Linked DNA regions of Danio rerio. The protein of the gene in region 1 purifies or fractionates together with the protein of each later gene. This does not show direct contact. Links are inferred from orthologs where the notes say so. Each region holds a gene or a part of one and is shown on either strand. Other genes may lie near its edges.

Region 1 (10,758 bases):
GCACAAAGAATGCTTTCCTGGAGTTTTTTTTTTTTGTAAGTTTAATGACAAACAATAAATATGAGTGCTGCAAATGCGAAAAAACAGCTGTTTTGTTCGACACAGTGTGACGGAGCAAACAAGCGGCAGTTATATTCATCATTCTTTGAATTATTGGTCTATTAGAAATTATTATTAATATAATTAGTGCAAATACTGCCAGCAAGGGGCGTAGCGGATATTTTAAAGTGGTGGGAGGGGCAGTTGTATGAGATCCAAAAGTTTACGTTCATTTATTATTTATTACCCGTTTCTACATGGTTTTTCTCTAAAATGGAGGGGACTGATAGGCCTCTGTTCATAGTTAATTCAGTACTTACACACTGTAAAAAATCATGGTTGTCTTAAATTAAGCTGAATTAAATTAAACCGTATGAGTCCATTGAACTTGTTAAACTGACTTAAAACAGCTTGCGCAACTTACACAATTAAGAACATGATTAACTAAGTTTAAAAAGTTACAATGAGCTAAAACATATGCTGTCAGGAATTATTTATCATATTTCTTCTCTTTTTTTGCAGTGTAGTTAGAGTAAAAATACCAAGGGCTCAGATTCGCTCTCGTCATTGGTAGGGACGGACACACATCCCTAAAGCGCATGAACAGCACACATTCTGTTTCGAGCTTTTAAAAACACGAATAACATACTTAAAAATATAAATAAACACTTAATACAAATAACAATCCCGTCCCATGCTGCAGAAGTCAAGTTACATGATTTTACTGCAGTAGGGCCTTGAGGAGGTGTGAACAGAGAAATTTAGAGAGGTGTGTGATGCAGAACTGCTTTATCTTGATTATTGCTTTTCTTAATCATGGAGGCCAAAATCGAAACTGAATTTTAATTAATTGCACTGCCTTGGTTAATAGTACTACGGTGAACTAGCAGCAAACTTGACTTGGTGCACGTGTAGGTTAAGAGTTGAAGGAGCATCAGACTACTTTGAAGTTGATTAAATTATTGGTAGGGATATTTCAGTAATTGTTAGATATTATGGGGGACATGTCCCCTCCGTCTCAAATTCTACACCCTTTACAATATACTTTAATATACAGTTACAACTTCCAGTTATTAGCAAGGGTGTAGAATTGGCATGGACGAAGGGCACGTGTACCTACGAATATCAAACAATTACTGAAATGTCCCTATAATTTAATCGACTTTAAAATAAAGTAATGCTCCTTCAACTCCTAACCTACACGTGCACCAAGGTCGCTGCTGGTTCATCTTAATACTATCAACCAAGGCAGTGCAATTAATTAAAATTCTGTTTGATTATGGCCTATGTGCCTATGAAAAACAATCGAGATAAAACAGCGAAACTGCATCACACACCTCTCTAAATTTCTCTACATTCATTCCTCCGCTCGGACTGCAGTAAAATCATGTAAATTGACTTTTACAGCATGGGACACGATTGTTAATTTTATTAAGTGTTTATTTTATATCATTAAGTACTTTAGTAATATTTTAAAAGGGCGAAACAGAATTTGTGCTGTTCAATGCATGTCCTCTAGGGATGTATATCCCCACCAATGTCAAGAGCGAATCTACACCCTTGGTTATTAGAATCCAGACCGAAGGGAATTTTAAGGCATTAAAAGCTGTTGTTAAATAGTTTAAATAACGTAATTAAGATTGTAAAATAGGTCAGCAATTCAGTTTAGGGACTCAAATATCCACGTTTGTCTGTTCCATAGCAAAGATATCTAGCTTATTACGTCTCCGTTTGAGCGAAACAAATATTTCGCGGCAGTTTCAACCAAAAATAAGTGACTCGGATTTTTTTAAACGTTCTTAAAATGTGTTTTAATCAAACATTTAATCAGGAAATCAAAGTTTGTTTCACAATTTACGAAACTAAAACAAAGAAGTCTTAAGGAAGCTTCAGCAAAAGTCTTAAACCTTGAGAAATGTCAACTTTTTGCCCCGCTAAATCTACATTTAACAACAACATAATAACATAAGGAAAAAATGTCAACAAAATATTAGCCTAATAGAGAATGTGTTGTGAATTAAAGTTGTTTTTGCATCGTTTAATCCAATTTTAATGTAAGGCATGGAAACAATTAAAATAAATGGGCATTAAAGCCTAAAATACAAAAACTTTAACGAGTAGCAATAAAAAAAAATGAAATGCGCATTTAGATTTGACCTAAAATGTATATCATCATTGAAATCAAACTGTAAATTATATATACACATTTCAAAATGTTAATAAACTCAAAAGTGTAGCTCTACTTAAACAGGAGCAGATTTACTCATGATATTCACACGTGCCAGCCATATCTATTACTATTATTGTTTAACCAATTAATTAATTCAAGACTCCTTTAAACACTCTCATTGTTGTTGATCTGCATCTATAATCACCAAGAGATAAGCTATGAATATTCATTTAAAGATTAACACACTACACAAACTGACACAGTAACGAATTAGGAGTTTTTATAAACTGATCTGCATCAAAATTGAGAATCAAATGAAAACCTAAAATATGCGCACACACACACACACACACACACACACACACACACACACACACACACACACACACACACACGAAATAAAATAAAAATCTCAAAATCAGGCTTGTCTCATGTGTATTTCATAAGCTTTACAGCATATTCTTAAAAGTTAATACATAAGAACATTTGATCAGTAAAACAATGAGAGAAAAAAAAAAAAAGTTTACAAATCAACAGGCCAAAAAAAGGAGACAATGTTTGCTTGGAATAGAAAATAAGTTGCATTTTTTTTCCTTATCAGACTGAGCTTAGTTCCAGTTGTATCTTCGTGAGGCTGGAGGCAATCCATACCCACGTCCAGAATTGAAGCCCTAAGACACAAAAAAAGAGGTGTTTTAGAAACAAATTAAAAACTTAACACCTTTTTAAGACCATGAAGAATAACATTTCAGACTTAAACAGGGCTAAACGCTAAGGATTTCCTTTTAATGGCCTAGCAGAAATAAAAACGCACTTGCCCCATCAAAAACAAGCAATTTCTTAGCCGCATACTTTAAATTATTTGTCAAAACAAGCAGACCCTATAGCTCACAGGTGTCAAACTCTGTTCCTGGAGGGCTGCTGCTCAGCACAGTTTAGTTCCAACGCTAATTAAACACACCTGATCAAACTAATCAAGCACTTTAGGATATGAAATATATTAGCGCTCAGCATATTAAGCCTATACAACCACATGTTTAGGGGTAAAGTTTGACTTAAATTTGACAATCAGATTAGAGCGGTAGTTAAATCCAGCATTGTTCAATTAAAACAACAAGCAACAATAAAGCAATATACACCAAAACAGCAGCTTAAAGCCTGGTTTATACTTCTGCGTCGAGAGATTGGTGTGACCCACGGCGCATGTCTTGCGCGTAGCCGTGCATTTATACTTCCGCCGGTTTCCGCCTCTGAATAAACAAGTTTGAGCCACTTGTACGTTATGGTAGCGTTCAGTAAAAACAAAACACCAGCGAAGAAACAACACAGAGGAACATAAAAACCTACTGCAAGCAAGAGATTCAGAAGTGTTACTGCAGAGGAACACAAACAGCACGCAGAAGTATAAATGCATGGCTACTCGGAAGACAGGCGCTGTGGTTCACGCAGATTACTCAATGCAGAAGTATAAACTAGGCTTCAGTTTACTTTAAAAAGTGAGTAAACCCCTCGCCTTAAAAGCAACAAGTTGATTCAACTTAGTAAGTACAACAATTGACTTAACTTTTATGATTATGCAGGGCTGAAATACAACATTGCAACATTGTGGTATGAATACAATTTCACCAGATTGCATGGGATTGTTCTGTATGGGAGAGCATCTGCATACAATCTACAAGCACACATTAATACAATAAAGAAAAACACAATTCAACTGAACAGTTTCGTCGTTTTACTAGTCTAACAGTATTCAGGTACAGTAATAAAGTTCTAAAAATAAAATTAATTCAACAAAATGCAAAGTCAACATTGCATATCCTATGATGTGACTATTGTGAACGGTCATATTGCGATATCGATGCTGAATCGATAAAAGTCAACTAATCACTTTTTACAGTTGAATGACAGATAAAAAAAATGTAGTCAACCCATAATAGCCTGGCATGTTGATTTAAGTTGATTTAACTCAGGCCTAATCGCAATTCTATTTATTCCTTCCCCTTAGTCCTCGAAACAGGGGTAAAATTTTAAGTCCTTCACACTCTAAGAACTGGGACAGCTCTACAGCACCTGGTCACGTAATCATGATCTCTAGCTACACATGAGATCAGACGATGGCGACTGCTGTAGTTATTCCAGTTGTGCTATTTTTTGGTATTAATCTTCAGGAAATCACTGACGGCGTATATTTTGTTATCATAACAACATAATGCGGCAATAAGATCGTAACTGTACTGTGCATTTACACCATGACCATATTCATCTATTTGCACACAAAAACAACATTAACATTATAGCGGACACTGTACAAAGCTCATTCCCAGCCACTAGACTTTTCTGACATGGTATTCGAGCCTCAGAGTGACTGTGGAACTGTCATACAGGATTACTATTAGAGATTACAGATAGCAAAATTTATTTAAGCAGTGTTTAAAAAGCATGATGGCAAAACATGAACGTGGTTATGAATATATTAAAACATGTGCTTGTTTTTTGTAAAAATTCATGACAAAAAAACACTAATATGTGCATCTCCTGACTTCCATGTGCAGCGATGCTGCTGTTGTAGATGGTGTATTCTGGGAAATTTTCAAGTGTGGTTCTGGAAAATCTCAGTTTCAAGGGCTATCTAGCCTTTTCCCTTAGCTCTAGCTAAAGATAATTGGGTAAGGGGAAGGGCTAAGGGGTAGAACGGGGTAAGGTCTCAACAAAAGAAAATCACTGGGCTCCACTTTTTATAAAATAAACTAGCAGAGTCCCTGATGGAGTATTTCATTTTTTCTAAATGAGAAAAAAAAAAAAAAAAAAAAACCAGGACTGATTTAAAGGAGCACACAAGGGTTTTCAATTTAGCAATATTTGCCATCTAGCTAGTAATGAGGCCAAAGCGATAACGTCAATATGATGCTTATATCAGTAGGAGGTGAAACAAAGATTGCAATTATTGGGCAGGGTTTTACAGAAATGTTAAGAGCAACAAAGTGACTTTAATTAACATTTTTAGTGGATTAAAATGATGACGTATATATAGAGAAGTCTGTAAAATAACAGAAAATGCACTGTCACTTTATTACAATGTGTTTGTAGCGTGATATACAACACCAACCCAGACAATATAGCACATTAAACAATTAACCATGCTAATGAAAGTCACTTTTATGAACCTCTCAATGGTACAAGTGGTTGAAAGAAAGATTAAGGTCCCATAATGCAAAAGCATAAACAAATGTGGAAGAGTAAAAACACGAATCAGAAAATATGGAAAACTGCTAATTTAGGGATATGTTTTGTGAGTAAGGGGCTCAGACCTGCTGGTTTTGTTGGGGTCTCCAGTCTCCTCGTCCCCTCTGCTGGTTCTGCTGGTATGAAGAGCCCTGGTTCTGCATGGCTCGATCCCAACCATGAGATCCCTGCTGGAACCTGCACAAAACACACATGAAGGCAATGAAGGAAAAAAACAGACAACTTTGTGACTAATAGACCACACTTGGTAAAAAAAAATAATAATAATAATAAAAATAATAATAATTTACAATATAAATATAATAAAGGTTAAATATTTAATGTAAAAATAAAATATATCATTATATAAGATCTGTAATTTATAAAATATAATATACATTTTATATATTATTGAAACCCTAATTTAAAAATAACTTTCCATGACTAAAAGATGATACTTGGTTTAAAAAAAATAAAATAAAAATAAATAATAATAATAATAATCGTAATTGTAATATAGGCTAAATGTATCATCTAAAAAATATATTATTATATAAGATCTATATTTTATAAAATATAATATAGATTTTATATATGAAACCCTTATTGAAAAATAACTTTTCATGATTAACAAGACACTCGGTAAAATATATATATATATATATATATATATATATATATATATATATATATATATATATATATATATATATATATATATATATATATATATATATATATATATATTTTCTTTTTTTTTTTTTCCCCCACAATTTCTGTTTAATGAAGAGAAGATTTTTCAACACATTTTTAAACATAATAGTTTTAATACCTCACTTCTAAAAACCGATTTATTTGATCTTTGTCTTGATGACAGTAAATAATATTTGACTAGATGTTTTTCAAGACACTTCTATACAGCTTAAAGTGACATTTAAAGGCTTAACTAGGTTAACTAGGTAGGTTAGGCTAATTAGGCAAGTTATTGTATAACGATGGTTTGTTCTGTAAACTACTGAAAAAAAATTGCTTAAGGGGCTACTAATATTTGACCTCAATGTTTAAAAAAAAAATTAATAACTGCTTTTATTCCAGACAAAATTTCTCCAGAAGAAAAATCATTGACAGTGAAAATTTCCTTGCTCTGATAAACATCATTTTAGAAATATTTAAAAAGGAAAAGAAAAAAAAAATCAATTGGGGGCTAATTCTGACTTCAACCATGATGTACCCCATTTATTCACAAGGTATTTAAAATATCTAAATATGTCACAGTAATGTTAATACGATCACTCAAACCTTTATATGCTTTAATAAGCTTGAGCCAGACGTTTATTTTTACATTAATATCTGTTATGTTCGGTGAGGGAATATTTTATATTATCATTTTATTTTGACAATTTCTTGACAGATTAAGACTTCACTTGCATTTAATTTGCTTTTTGTGTATCTAAAATCATTTTGGCAAATTAAATGTGTTGACAAATTAAGTGCCTTTCACTTATATGCCAATATAAATCAAAAGCTAAATTGATTAAATATACAACATTTCATGGCTTTATTCTAATTAATGGGTCTAATTAAGGTTAAGCATCTAAAGTTGTAAGATTAATTTATTTTAAAATAAATAAATCTATTCTAAAAGGTTACATTTCTTTTTTAAGGGTAAAGATATTTACAATATTACAAATGATTTTCTTGTTAATGCTGTTATTTTGAACTTTTTAAATTTAAGAAATCTTACAAATACAAATTAAAGATTCCACAAAAATATTCAGCAGCACAACAGTTTTCAAAATTGATAAAAAAACAGAAATGTTTGCTAAACCACTCTTGAGAAAACTTGGAGAAAAACTACAGCACTACAGGAATAAATTCCCCTTTAAAAAATATTAAAATAAGTTAATTTAAACTGCAATAATTTCAAAATATTCAGACAAATTAAACGCAACATTATTTTTCTAGATAGTTACAGTCACTTCCACAAATCTCATTTAAAGCTTAAAGAATCACATTTTAAAATCAATCATGGATATTTTCCAGTTTCCTAAGACTTCAGTAATCTCTAATCTTACACCGAATGCTTGGAAAGAAACCCCAAAAAGCTGAATCGCAGCAGCACAAAGAGCGAGAGTTCAGCTGAAGACACTTGAGCAGCATTCAGAAGCACAATTCACCCTTTCACTTCCACAACACTCGCCTGAACCATAACCTCATCTCACCTCGTCAAAACATAATCTTATGTCTTATAATCTTAAAATCAAAACATAACATAAACTTATTGCCATTCCATGGCAAGATCAATAGATAAAACAAATTACATAATAATTACAAGCTTATAGCTCAATAAGAGATGAAAAATAAATAGTAAATATACAATAAATAAATGAAAATACAAATAAATCTATGAAAATAAATTAAAATAAATAAATAAAAACTAAATAAACTAACAAATAAAACAAAAATAAATGAACAGATAAGATTTTCCCCATCCTTAAAAATTAATTAATAATAATTAAAAAAAAAACATTAGATTAGATTTTCCAAATAAGTAAATGATAACCATCTTTTCTAGTACTCTTAAAATTTCCCATTCTTATAAAATCTGTTTTATAGTGAGCAAAGCTTGACAGTGATTAAGCACTAATGGTACATAAACCATCATCTGTATATATTTTAGTTTTTTGCCACATCAGCAACTTATGGCTTTTCATTTCATGGCAAGACCAATATAGATCAAAAAAAAAAAAAAAACATATACAATATTAATAAGAGCTGACAAATAAATAAGTAAAGCAAAATTAACAAGATTAAAAATAAAAACATATGAATATAAAAAAATAAAATAAATGCATAAAAATATAGCAATACATAAATATATAATAAAAATAAATCACAAAATTTAAAATACAAAAATAAATATAAACTAAATAAAAAGTACATAAAGTATAGAAAAATATATAAAAGATAAGATTTTCAAATTCAGGAAATATAATTAAAATATATAATAAACAAACAAAAAAATAAATACGTAAAAATAAATAAATAGCAATATATAAAGCTAGCATCATTAAATTAAAACAAAATTATACATGTAAAAAAATAAACAAATAAATGTAAAATAAAGACATTAGATAATATTTTCCTATTCAGTAAATATAATAAATAATATATAATGAACATGAAAAATGTATAAAAAAAATAAAAACAAAAATAAATAAATAGCAATATATAACAATTAAAACAATCAAATCTAAATCAAACATTTAAACAAACATAAAACAAAAACGTTTAATTAAAGACATTAGATAAGATTTTCCCATTCAGTTTATATATAGTAAATAATTAATATATAGTAAGTCTACCCAGGGAGACATTTTTAAAATAAAAAAACAGTCAAGTCTTTAAAATTTCATATCAATAAAATATTTTATAGCAAGGCTTAAATAAGACATCATAACATAAAATAACATAATATGATATAAATAAGTTAAAATAAATAATTATATAAAATACAAATAAATACATTTAAACAAATAAAAAATAATTAATAAAAAATTTATAAATAAAATAACCAAATAAATATAAATAAACAAACATAAAAGACATTAGATAAGATTCACATGTTCAGTACATATAATGAATGAATAAAATAAGTCTTGCCAGGCAGACATTTTTAAAAACACTTCTCTACTTCTCTTTAAAATGTCAAATTAGTTTTATAGCAAGTAAGGCTTCAAGAGATCACAACAATAAGTAAAATGCATATTAAAAACGCAAATATATTTAATAACACAAAAACAAAGATCAAATAAAAATGTATAATAAAATAAACAAAAAGATAACACAAATGTAAAAAAAGACATCAACGTAATAGAAGTAAAAACGAATATAATAAATAAATAAAATAAATAAACTATCAAATAAAAATTTATAAAAATATATATATATATATAAAAAAATCAAATTAATATTAAAATAATAAATATTAAAATTAAAGATTTTCCCATTCAGTATAATAAATAAATACATATAAAAAATTTTGCCTTCCCAGGCAAGACTTTAAAAAAAAAATCTTCTCTAGTAAAAATTTCACATTAGAATAAAATGTTTTATAGTGAGCAAGGCTTCAATAGGAAATCAATAAATATAAATTAACTAAAAAAAAAAAAAAATTTATTTAAAAAATTTAAAAAACACACAAATAAAAAAAACAAATAAATATAAAAAGAAATCTAAATAAGAATATATTTTCTCATTCAGCATTAAATAAATAAATAAACAAGTCGTCTCATGGAGACATTTCTGAAAACAAAAATCTTCCCTGGTAGTCTTTTAAAATGTCCCATTCTAACAAAATCAGTTTTCTAGTGAGCAAGGCTTGACTGATTACACACACTGGTGCTACATAAACCATCATCAGTAAAAGACGACCAGCAGCAGCATCCCTCATTACCCACGCAGGTCACAATCTTCCAGAGGAATCCATAATCCCTGCTCTCCAGCTTCCTTCTTTGGGCTCCGTCCCCAAAAACTGCGCTCTAATAACTACTGACCTGAGGTGACACAGGGCCACAATGGGCTGCGGGGCCGAAAAAAGTTGGAGCAAAAGAAGCTGATTAGTGGCTGAAGTGGGTCTGGAGCCAGAATCAATGGTGGCTCTGTGCGGCCCCCCAAGCAAAAAAAAAAAAAAAAAAAAAAAGAGATCCTGCACCGCAAGCGCATTAGTGCTGCCTCATTAAGCCCCGCAAACCCTCTTTAGCCCAACATTTGTTTAGTGCAGAGAAACTCATTTCAGTGCGGCCCCCCCAGGATGAACATCAATAACTTGCATCCGACTCTGCAAAAGCACAAACAGCAGGAGCCCCGAGACGAGTTTGTAATGATCAGGTGCATTGTGGGAGATGGCTGAATGACCAACACAATCTCATTGCAATTTGTAACTTTGATTTAGTGGCTAATTCGTACGATCTCATTCAAACGATTTGCTCATGCACCTACAATTGGGTTTAGGGGTGGGGTTTGGTGCCACATCTCCATCAAATTAAAAGTATACATTTTTGTACCACTAAACTACTATAGATTTTGTACGAATTAGTCACTAAACTGACAAAACATAAACAGTTACGTTTCCTCATGAGATCAGACTCGAATGTCAGGTTTAGTTGATGCAACTTTAACTGCAAAAGTGAAATTTAATCTTTCTTGCATTGTTTTTAGATTGAATAGTATAAACACTTTTAACAATTTAAGTTATGGGAATTCTTTAAAGAAAAAATACCAATAGTTAATTATTGTAAATTGGACCCCACTTTTGCCTTCAAAAC
Region 2 (11,499 bases), on another chromosome or scaffold:
CTGTGAAACACCCAGACACACTGTCTGCTGCATGTGTTTGGACTGTGGGGGAAACCGAAGCACCCAGAGGAAACCCATGATAACACATGGAGAACATGCAAACTCCACACAGAAACACCAACTGACCCAGTCGGGGCTCGAACCCACATCCTTCTTGTTGTGAGGCAACAGCATTACCTACTGCGCCACTGCATCGCCACTAGATTTATATGTGTAAAATAATAGTCTAAAATACACAAGCACTCTTATTTTGAAATGTGTCTGCTTTGCTGTTGCTGGCTGCTCATTTAAAGCAAACCTGCAGCAGACAGATGCTCAAGACAGTTCTGGAGGGAATAATAATAGTAGAATAATAGTGAAGCATTATGATGACGGACAGACACACACTCACAGACTCACACACACACACACTCACGCACACACACAAACACACTCATTCATTCATTTTGAGGGGCATTTTTTCCTCCTTGAGAAAAAAGATCAGGTGCTCAAGCACACAGAGCCCCACCTGTGCACATTCCTGAAGACTCTTCTCATTTACTTTCATTGAATAAAAAATGCACATTTCAAAACAATTCACAGGACTTTTAAAGTTCTCATAAACCAGAAGCTGCAATCATTTTTCGCATTGTGAAGCAATTCCTAGACAAACTGAATATTAAATGAGAAAATAGTGGGCGTGGCTTGATTTTTATACTGCGACCTGATTGGCTGTAGTAAAGGATTTGGGGAGAGTTATTACAACCTAACAGACTCCTCCTCCTCACCATTTCCGTTGCCAAAACTGACCGCTGGGGGCGTGGTTAAGTATGCAAGCCCCGCCCGATACCTCAAACAGACCTAATCTTAGAATTTAACTGAAAACAAACAGGTAGTGCATTTGCATATTTCAATTTTAGATTACATGTTTTTCTTAATGACATGCAGATGAATTGTTCACCCAAAGACTAGCAATGTGAGCTAACAAAATAATTATGGTTAGTTTTGTTTTCAGTGTGGCTCACAAACATTTAAAGACAAAATAATAATAATAAAAATAATAATAATAATAATAATAATAATGTAAAAAATACTACACGTTTTCTAGACCACGCCCCGTGTGTGTGACGTCAAGCCGCCGTGTGCAGCTGAAGGGGGCGTGGTCGCTGACCTGCAGGGCTTGTTTGTGAAGCGCGTTTAGGCCACTCGCTCACTCCAAGCTGAGAAGTTGAGCAGCAGCAGCAGCAGTACTCCACACAGACTGAAGAGTTCAGCAAACAAATAAACCGCGAACGAGCCCGTACAAGCAGACAGAATTCAGGCAGCAAACGACCGACATGAGCATGAAACAACGGTCAAAAACTGCAGAAAAGGCACATTTTTTCGGCTTTACCTCTTCTGCGGAGAGAGGGTGTGATGGTGATGATGAAGATGATGATGGTGTCCTCGCAGAGATCAGAGGATCATCCGAGGCCACGCACCCTCCTCGGCCCCGATAAAAGTTACTGTGTGCGGCTGAGATGCCCGAGCCGACGGCATATTACAGCCGTCCTAAAACTGCCGCTTCAGAAAACAGCACAGCACGCTTCGTCATCCGCAAAACTGTTTCTGGTGTCCTCACATCCTGCGAAGTGAAGCTGTCGACACACAAGCGCGCTCCTCTTCACATTCTGCGTGTATTCCTGCGCGAAACACCAGCTCACACTTACAACTCTTTTGGCGCCATATTAATGACGTACCAAAAAATTTCCGTTAGCAGCGGGCGCAGGAGCCGAGCGTTGCGAGCGAGCGTCACGCACGGCGAGCGGGGGGAAACGGGCGAAAAAGCGCGTTGCGTTTACCTGTCAAGTTTGAAAATGTCCATCAAGACGCGAGCGTGAAGAAGAAAGTCTCCTCAAGCGAGCGCGCGGGGCGGTTCGCGAAAATAATCGACCATTTTACTGTGAATCCGATGGGGGGAGCCATGAACAAACAGCCGAGAGGAGGAAACACAACAAACATCCTCACTGTCAGCGCTGTTCCGGATCTCTCACACACACACACACACACACACCATCAGCGTCTCCAGATATGGCCATCTACAGTGTTTTAGAACCATACTGTAGTAAAGTGTGTATATTATAGTATTACAGCTCTGTTAATGAACGCTCCTGCATACTGTAGCATAGTGAACTGATAGACTACTGTATACTGTATAGTTTTACTACACCTTACCCACACTACAGCTGCTGAGAAAACTACTGTATTAGGTCATTTGTTTATAATACTATAGTTATCATAGCAACTAGATAGGAATCATCACAGTGTTTAGTTCAAACACTTTAGCTGTTCAAAAATATAGTTTTTAAACTATGAAACACTGGTCTATTTTTACATTAGGGATGGTTTAAATATTATTTACAACCCTTTGTTAAATGAATGTTCCAGCATACTGTATTAGTTACCTGATTACTGCAGTAAACTGGTGTATTGTAGTTTATAGTTGGGTTGTTGCTAGATGAGATTCAGATATCGCTGAAAGATCAGGAGAATTAAATTATTAAACTGCCCAGTTAATGTAACTTTTAAAGTCTACCCCAATCCTCACAGTCATGTAAAATTATGAAATATTGTACAGTGTCACAGAGAAGATTCTATATTGATGTGTGTATCTGCAGCTGTATCCCTTCTATTCTCCACCCTATAGTTGTAGTAAACTACAGTGTTTACTATAGTTGTGTTAACCACTACAGCAGATCAACTCAAGTGCTTTACTGTAGTGTGCTATTTTTGATATTTGGGATGTTTTAGACTTCTGCTTTTACAGATTAATATGTTTTCCTGGGTTTGTAAACTTTCAACATTTAGCACACTATAGGTATACGTCAATACAATACTATAGTACGTTATAGTAAACGCTGATGTTTATGAACCATACTGTAGTAAAGTGTGTATATTATATTATTTACAACTTTGCTATTGAATGCTCCAGCATACTGTAGTATTGACTAGTAACCTGTGGTGTTTATTATAGTTGCTGATAACTACAGTATTGGGTCATTTGTTCATGTGATCATAGTTGTGTTTTTATAGACTGATGACTGAGAAATGCGAGCTCTTCACTGTAGTATGCTTCAAATACACCAGTTTAAGGCCATTTTTACAGCTTAATTTTTTCTGGGTTTGTGGACATTTTACACATTTTGTATTTAAGTAAGTTTTATTTATATACACAGTTGAAGTCAGAATTATTAGACCGCTTGTTTATTTTTTCCCCCAATTTCTGATAAATGGAGAGCAGATTTCTCCAACACATTTCTAATCATAATGATGTTAATAACTCATCTCTTATAGCTGATTTATTTTCTCTCTGTCATGATGACAGTAAATAATATTAGACTAGATATTCTTCTAGACACTAGTGTTCAGCTTAAAGTGACATGTAAAGGCTTCGCTATAGGGTAACTGGGCAGGTTAGGGTAATTAGGCAAGTCATTGTAGAACGATGGTTCAAAAAAAATCTTAAAGAGGCTAATAATTTTGTCCTTAAAATGTAAAAAAAAAATTAAAAACTGCTTTTATTCTCGCTGGAATAAAATAAATCAGACTTTCTCCAAAAGAACAAATATTATCAGACATACTGTGAACATTTCCTGAATCTGTTCAACATCATTTGAAAAATATTTAAGGAAGAAAAAAATCTTAGGGGGCGAATAATTCTGACATTAACTATTGCATTTATACACATTTATTTATTTCTGATTAATCAATACTGTTAGAATCCCAAAAGCGAAATAAAGAGTTGCCAGTCTATATGGGTTTTTGCAGGGTATGTGTTGATTGATGAACTGATGGTCTTTCTGTTTGCTATCTCTTATTTGAAGTGAGCCCTGTGGGTTTCCCTACATATCTTAAGTTTAATGGTGAATGTTTCTACATTACAAAAAACATTTTCTTATAGAGTTACTCAGAGTTTTCTCTTGTTTCTAGTTCAAATATCTGAGAAATTTTAATTCTCAAGCTTGCCTGAGGACATTTTTGAACAATATGTCAAACAAAAATAAAAAATGCAGATAAAACATAACTTAATGAAGGTTTGAGCCTATAACATCCTCAATGTGTCAACCAAACACACACACACGCGCACACACACACACACACACACACACACAGATCTAATGAGTACTACAGTCAATAGTGTCACTGATACTTTCATAAAAATGTTATTTTATTTCCCTCATCACCCACCAGATATCCCTAAAGTCGCCCCATTTTTAGATTTTAAACCGACTGCAGTGACCTTTATGCTGAAGTAAAACTAAGAATAATCCATAAGCATATTTTCATAAACATCAGACTGGTCTAAAACTTGAGCAAACACTCAAAGAAGACCTGATTCAACAGTTAGGTCCAACTTAAAACTAACTAAAAACAAACTTTTTGTTTGTCCAATAAATCTAACACAACACAGATAACAATGTACTTAAATAAATGTCTGAGGCTGTACACACACACACCACACACACACACACACACACACACAGTCCTCCCAGAACACCATTGAAAATTGTTGCCATCGACTTTTATGTGTTACATTTTGAGGTTTTTAATGATGAACAGTGTCCTTTAATTATTTAATCTATTTAATTATTTAGTTATATATTTATTTATAATTTAATTATATGCTGTTTCTTTGTAAAATAAGTAAATAAAATGTGTGTGTGGTCAAATTACAATACTAAATTGTAATTGCTAAATTGCAAATCAAAGATTGTAATAAAATAATTTAATTTTTTAATTTAAAGCTAAATCAATGAAAAATAATTTAAAAGGTTACTTTACCAAAACATAAAGAAATAAATTTACTCACTACTCTCACTCAAGGGGCTACAAACCTTTATGAATTGCTTCTGTTGAACACAAACGAAGAAAACCTGTAACCATTGACTTACATTGGAAATAGAAACACCGTGGAGTCAATGGTTACAGGTTTCCAACATTTTTTAAAATATCTTCTTTTGTGTTTAACAGAAGAAAGACACTCAAACAAGTTTAAAACAAGTAAAGGGAGTTTTTTATTGTATCTGAATCGGACACAGTAAACAGCATTTTTAAATGTATTCTGTTCAAAGTAAACCGTTTAAAGGTGGCGCTGTGCCTTTAATAAGGTCTAGAAGGGATACAGCTGCGGATACTTACATCAACAATAATTAATAGTTTTACATTACTGTGAGGAAAGGGGTAGATGTTAATAAGTTACAGTTAATTGGTAATTTAATAACTAATATAAACAATCCTCTTCAAAATTAATGTGAGGGAATAGACGTTATTAAAATATGAACAAAATATGAATGGGTAACTTAATAAATAATAAGAATAATACTCAGTATAATGACTATTTTTCCATTATTGCTAGAGTTAGAGTAGACGTTAATTAAATACAGGTCAGTTACAACATCAACAATTCTCGTTCACTTCCGACCGCAGCTGTATCGCTTCTAGCAACACCGCTTTTGAGAGCGCGCTGTCGCGACCGGAAAAAGAACACCGGGGAGTGACGTCATCGCTCGTAACAATGGCGTCCATGGATGTGGAGGAGTTTATCGGTCAGAACCGGCAGCTGGCTGACCGGGTTGAGGCTTTCCGCGGGTTCTCGGAGAGCGACAAACACTGGAAGGGCAGGCGGGAGTTCATCTTCAGGAACATGGCGGACTTCCCGGAGCCGCAGGTGGATCATCTGCTCGCGCTCTCCATGGTCTGGCAGAACCACGTGTTCATGGGCTGCAGGTATGAGCATCACAACAACAACAACAACAACAACACTAGTAGAGCTAAAACAACCAGCAGCTTTAACACAGCATAAAGAGCAACACCATACAGCAGAATCACCCGATCAGAACAGCTTCAATACAGTGCAGTACTAATGCAGTATACTCCAGGACTGCACACTATCTGCTCTTTCAATACAGGTAAAGGTGGTTTTATATTCGCACATTCGCTCATTTAGCAGGCTCTGTATTGTTTATTATGCTACTTTGAATATTGGATCGGAATTAGCATGCAAGTGTGACTTGTAAACATCATTAACACTGTCTAACTGACTGTGAACAATGCTGTACTTTGATAGATAGAGGTAAAGTTGGTTTTATATTGAGATATTCAGACATTCTCCTTAATAATAATGTCAGAAAAGTATTCTTGGCAAATTCTAAATAGGGAAATCATTTACATTTACATTTACAGTCATTTAGCAGACGCTTTTATTCAAAGCGACTTACAAATGAGGACAAGGAAGCAATTTACACAATAAGAGCAACAATGAAGAAGTGCTGTAGGCAAGTTTCAGGTCTGTAAAGTCTAAGAAGGAAAGTATTAGTAATTTTTTCATATTAGCTGCTGAATCATATTAGCAGCCAATGATTATAAAAGTATAGCATTGTTCACAGTCAATTAGACAGTGTTAATGTTGTTCAGCAGTCATACTGGCATGCTAATTATGATCCAATATTCAAGTTAACATGGTAAGCAATGTAGAGGCTGCTAAATGAATGAATGTGCCAATATAAAACCAACTTCACCTCTATCATTGACAGTCATTGGCTGATAATATGATTTCCCTATTTAGAATTTGCCAAGAATACTTTTCTGACATTATACTATTAAGGAGGATGTCTGAATATCTCAATATTAAACCAACTTTACCTCTATCTTCCCATATATAGAGATTTATCTGGTCAAATTGTGTTCATTTTGCAAAATAAAAAATATTGCATTCAGTTCAATAGTGCTGATGTTGTTTTAAAGTCTTTCAGAGCCAGTATACACAAAGCTCACCACAAACTTCCTGAAATTAAATGACACTAAAACTGTACTCCTCCTTATAGGAACACCATCCACTTTAAATAAATCAGTTTTCCCATTCCCACAGAGGATTCTGTCATGACCTCCTCCCCTCAGGTTCAGAGTCTGGGGGTCACCTTTCATTCAATGCACATGTTAATAATGTCACCCGGTCCGCCTATTTCCACCTTCGACATATAAATGGTTTACATCCTTCCCTCACCCCTCACTCAGCTGCCATTCCTGTTCATAGTTTAGTCACATCCCGTTTAGATTACTGTAATTCCCTTCTGTTTGACCTCCCTAAAAAAACTCTTCATAAATGACATCTGGTACAAAACGCTGCAGCCCGCATGATCACAAACACCCCCTCTGCCTGTCCCATCACACCCATTCTACAACAGCTTCACTGGCTTCCCGGCTCTTTATGAAACACTTCTTCTCACCTTTAAAGCCGTCCACAGTCTCGCTCCTCCATAGCGTGCTAGTCTTGTTCATATGGCCACAGCTTCTCCAACACTCAGGTCTTCTTCTTCCATTCACCTCACTGTTCCTCTGTCCGCCTTGTCACCATGGGGAGCAGATCCTTCAGCCGCTCTGCTCCTCAGCTTTCACTCCCTCCTGATCTCCGTAGTTTAGACTCTCTTTCATAATTTAAACTCCAAACACATCTGTTCAGAACAGCCTACTCTCTCAGACCCGACTGCATTTTAAAGCTTGTGTTGTAGTCTATTGTTTTTATTTGAATTGATTGTTTTAGCTGTCCTGTACAGGGCCTTGAGTGTCATGAAAGGCGCCATTAAATAAAATGCATTATTAATATTAAATAAAGCAGCTGTGAATAATATAGAGAGAGCGTCACAAGTTGTGCTCATAACAGTACACCACTATAATAATGAACCTGTACTGCTTTACTGTTTATTGAACACCAAAGTCTGAATGTGTGAATGTGAAACCAACTTCACCTCAAATATAATGCGTTATTGTATGAATAGAGGCATTATAACACCATTCATGTCTTATAAACAATGCTCAGATGATGTTATACATGTAGCAGAAAGCAGTGAAAAGCATCTGACTGATCAATACTTTGACCTCAGAGGAAGCACAGATATTGCGGGTTACAGAGGTTTTTCCAGAAGGATCAACTCAAGAGTAAGAGTACTGCTCTCAGAACTGCTTATGAAATAACATAAGGAAATGTGGCATTGTTAAATGCTATTATATTGTTTATTAATGCACTATAATGTTAAAGTGTTAATGTAGAAAGCTCAGGGATGCAGTAGGCTGGCTGTTCAGCTGAATGTATGGCCAGTGAATGTGTTCAGAACAGTGCAAATAAACCACATTCTGGGCATTACCTGTTTCATGGAGCAGAATTATACAGCTGTAATCATTCAGTGTCAGCCTTTTCATCAGTTTTTTTACCTGAGCATTGACTAAAGCTGGTGTGTAGTGTGTAAGTGGCGCTGTGTTTGTGCAGATACAGCTCAGAGCTGCTGCAGAGGGTGATGGAGATGGCGGAGGGCATCGAGGTGGAGGACGCTCCAGTCTTCAAGACCAGAGATGAGATCATCAGACAGCAGAAGGTCAGAATCTACACCTGAACACCAGCACTGCTAACATCAGCGGCAGGCCTGTGCGATTTGGGGAAAACGTCTAATTGCAATTTAATTAATGTATTTATTAGACAGATACTGCCATTTCAAGCTGCGATCTAATTGTGTGTTCAAGCTTCAGCTCAATGTTCTGTATCTTAGCTTCTCATTCCTGCTAAAATGCAGTGAGTGTCGGATCAAAACTGAAAAGATATTAACTGTAATTTGACAGTTATAAAAACGCATTGAAACGTGTGCGTGTTTTATAATATGCTGTAATAAATGTAAACGTTTCTTATGATTTATCATGTATATGTAGACAATACATCAAACATCAGAGGCCTCATGTATGAAGACTTGCGTGGAAATTATGTAAGAACATTGCGTACACTCACAGCTGTAAATGTGCGTACGCAGAAAATAATTCAGATGTATGAAACACTGCGTACGCCGAATCTCACACATATTCTTTTGTACATCTGAATGAACGTGAAACTGAGTGCAACATGCACGAGCACAAAACCCCTCCCTTCCTCCGCCCACGTATGGATATGCAAATGACTCTACTTTGGGAAAACCCAACGAAAAAGCAACGGCAAAAGCACACAAGAAGAGAAACTTTGAACAGAATGTGAATTGAAGGTGCTGCTTTCGGAGGTAGACCGGAGAAAAACTGTGTTATTTGCAAGTTTGTCCTCTGGAATTAACAACAAAAGAAAAATTGAGTGGGAGAGTTTTTTTATACACAGTTGGGTCTGAACATCGCACTGAGTGGATTAAAAGAGAAATAGTGCGATCTATAGGTGTAAAATTTTGGATTATCTTTAACATCCTAAGTTGCGCAGCTCGGTAAACCCATGGCAACATGTTTTGACACGTTCAAGCATGAACTCGGTTCGAGTCCAGCGGCTGATGAACTTACTCTCCATTTTCCCCGCTACATGTCAGATTTCGCCTATATACTCTTTATCATGAGAAAGTTTGGATGGTCAACTGTATGGTACGGAAACCTTATATACTAGACATGCGGATGAACTCGTCTCATACAGCAGAGAAGACATTTGTAGTGTGCAATTTAACACAACCGCCTCTAGGAGTCGCCAATGGAAATAAAACAGACACACACAAAAAATGTGCGTACACCAGCCATGAAGCTGGCGTGGAGCTGCGCACATTCCCACGTTCAGTTCATCGTTAGTAAATCCAAACGTGAGCGATTCTGAGCGTGAAACCTGGCGTACGCAAAGTTTTTGTGCGTACGCAGCGTTGATACATGAGGCCCCAGAGCTGGAAAAGTCCTGGAATTTTTATAGTAAAAGTGTGTATAAACCCTGCATATATACACCAAGCAAACCGCTCTAGAGGTGTCGCTCCATACACACAAGCATGCCGTACTGTTTATGAAATGATGCATTGGGGAAACAGAACCATTGAACTGTATTCATAACTAATGTTTTGTCTGTCTGTCTGTGTGTGCGTGTGTGTGTGTGTGTGTGTGCAGCAGCGGTGATGCCTGAGCGACTGCACGTCTACATGAGGAGCAGGGAGATCATCAGCATCACTCATCTACTGTACATATGAGGAGCAGTTTTATACCGTGTTGTTGTTGTTTTTATTTACTGTAACTGAAATGATCAGTATAAGTCATGTTAATGCGCTGCAGTTCTTGTGCCCCAAATGCATTTATTGCATTGACTTGCCTAATGTACAGCTGATGTCCTTATCTGGTTGCATCTGCTGTAGCCTATGCAGATGATGCTTTAATAAACTCCACCGATGTGTTTTTAATGCAATAAAGCGGATTCAGAAGTTGTGCAATGGAAACACTCTTCTGATGATAATACTGCAGCTTTTCCTGCTGAATATGATCTCGAAGTGGACTGCTGTGATGATGACTGGCTATTCATTATTATAACTGGCCTGTTTTTTATGTCGTGTATTCACCTTCTCTCATCTGTGTTCTCAGATAGATTGATTATTTAGTTTTTAGCATGTATTTGAGCTCATGAGTGTCAATAAAGCCTCCGTTCTCTCCACTCCGTGTCTGCAAAATGTTTTATTATATTTGTTTTGTATACAGCATATTAGAAGTATAAATGTCTTCTCTTATGATAAATTCACAAAAAGTAACTCTGGAAAGATCCCTCAACACCACAGTATGGCCCTTTACTTAAACACACCGAGCAGAAGAATATCGGCAAATACAGATTATTAGAAAAAGAGGAAGATTCCCAGAGCAGACGGGATCATCATCATCAGGAGCGGCTGTTTTCACTTGTGTTAAAGGGTTAGTTCACACTGAAATTGGAGCTGTCATCATTTACTCACTTTTTACTTCAATCAGTTTCTTCTGTTGAATATAAATTAAGATATTTTGAAGAATGTTGGAAACCTGTAACTTGATTTCCATAGCATTTGTTTTTCTAAGTATAAAAGTCAATGGTTACAGGTTTTCCAACACAATCTCACGGCAATTCGTAACTTTTTGATTTAGTGGCTAATTCGTATAATCTAATTCGTACAATTTAGTACGACCTGCTCATCCCCCAATAACGTTTGGGTTAAGGGGTGGGGTTAGGTGCCACGCCTCCTTTTTAAAATCGTACATTATCGTACGACTGAACTCAGGAATTTGTACGATTTAGCCACTAAACAGACAAAACGTAAAAATACTTGCGTTTTCTCGTGAGATCAGGCTGGGTTTTCAGCATATCTTTAAATCTCTTCTTTTCAAAATATCTTCCCCTTTCCTCTCCATAATCTTTCCTCTATCTGTTTAATTATTATGTATATGTTTCTCCTCTTTTTCTCCTTTATTCTTATTTTATCTCTCCTTTTGAATTATTCCCTTTATATTATTTATAGTGAGTGAATTATTAATAAATAATCTGTACTGTGTCTATTACATATAAACATTTCTTCTGTGATCTTTCACCTTTATTCTTATTTTCTTCCTATTCTGCAATTTTCTCTCCTTTTTTAATTATTCCCTTTATTTTACTTTATATACACACTGCATGAATTGTTTTCTACAAACTTAATTATTAAATTATAATTGCAATGGTTTATTATTAAACTCAAAACACATCCAGGGTTTAGAGAC

Evidence for each region.
Region 2: the proteins of xrn2 (region 1) and cdkn2aipnl purify together in Homo sapiens (co-immunoprecipitation; 6 studies listed by BioGRID and IntAct, with this or other methods). This does not show direct contact. The link is inferred for Danio rerio from reciprocal best matches to the Homo sapiens genes XRN2 and CDKN2AIPNL.

What each region holds. Positions count from the first base shown.
Region 1 is NC_133195.1:51,913,317-51,924,074, forward strand, and holds the end of xrn2 (5'-3' exoribonuclease 2), read right to left. Parts: intron 5,630-10,758; coding exon 5,518-5,629; intron 2,881-5,517; coding exon 2,818-2,880; 3' UTR 1,824-2,817; downstream 1-1,823. UniProt on the Homo sapiens protein: Possesses 5'->3' exoribonuclease activity. May promote the termination of transcription by RNA polymerase II.
Region 2 is NC_133196.1:49,532,605-49,544,103, reverse strand, and holds cdkn2aipnl (CDKN2AIP N-terminal-like protein), read left to right. Parts: upstream 1-5,505; 5' UTR 5,506-5,533; coding exon 5,534-5,745; intron 5,746-8,281; coding exon 8,282-8,387; intron 8,388-9,897; coding exon 9,898-9,906; 3' UTR 9,907-10,432; downstream 10,433-11,499.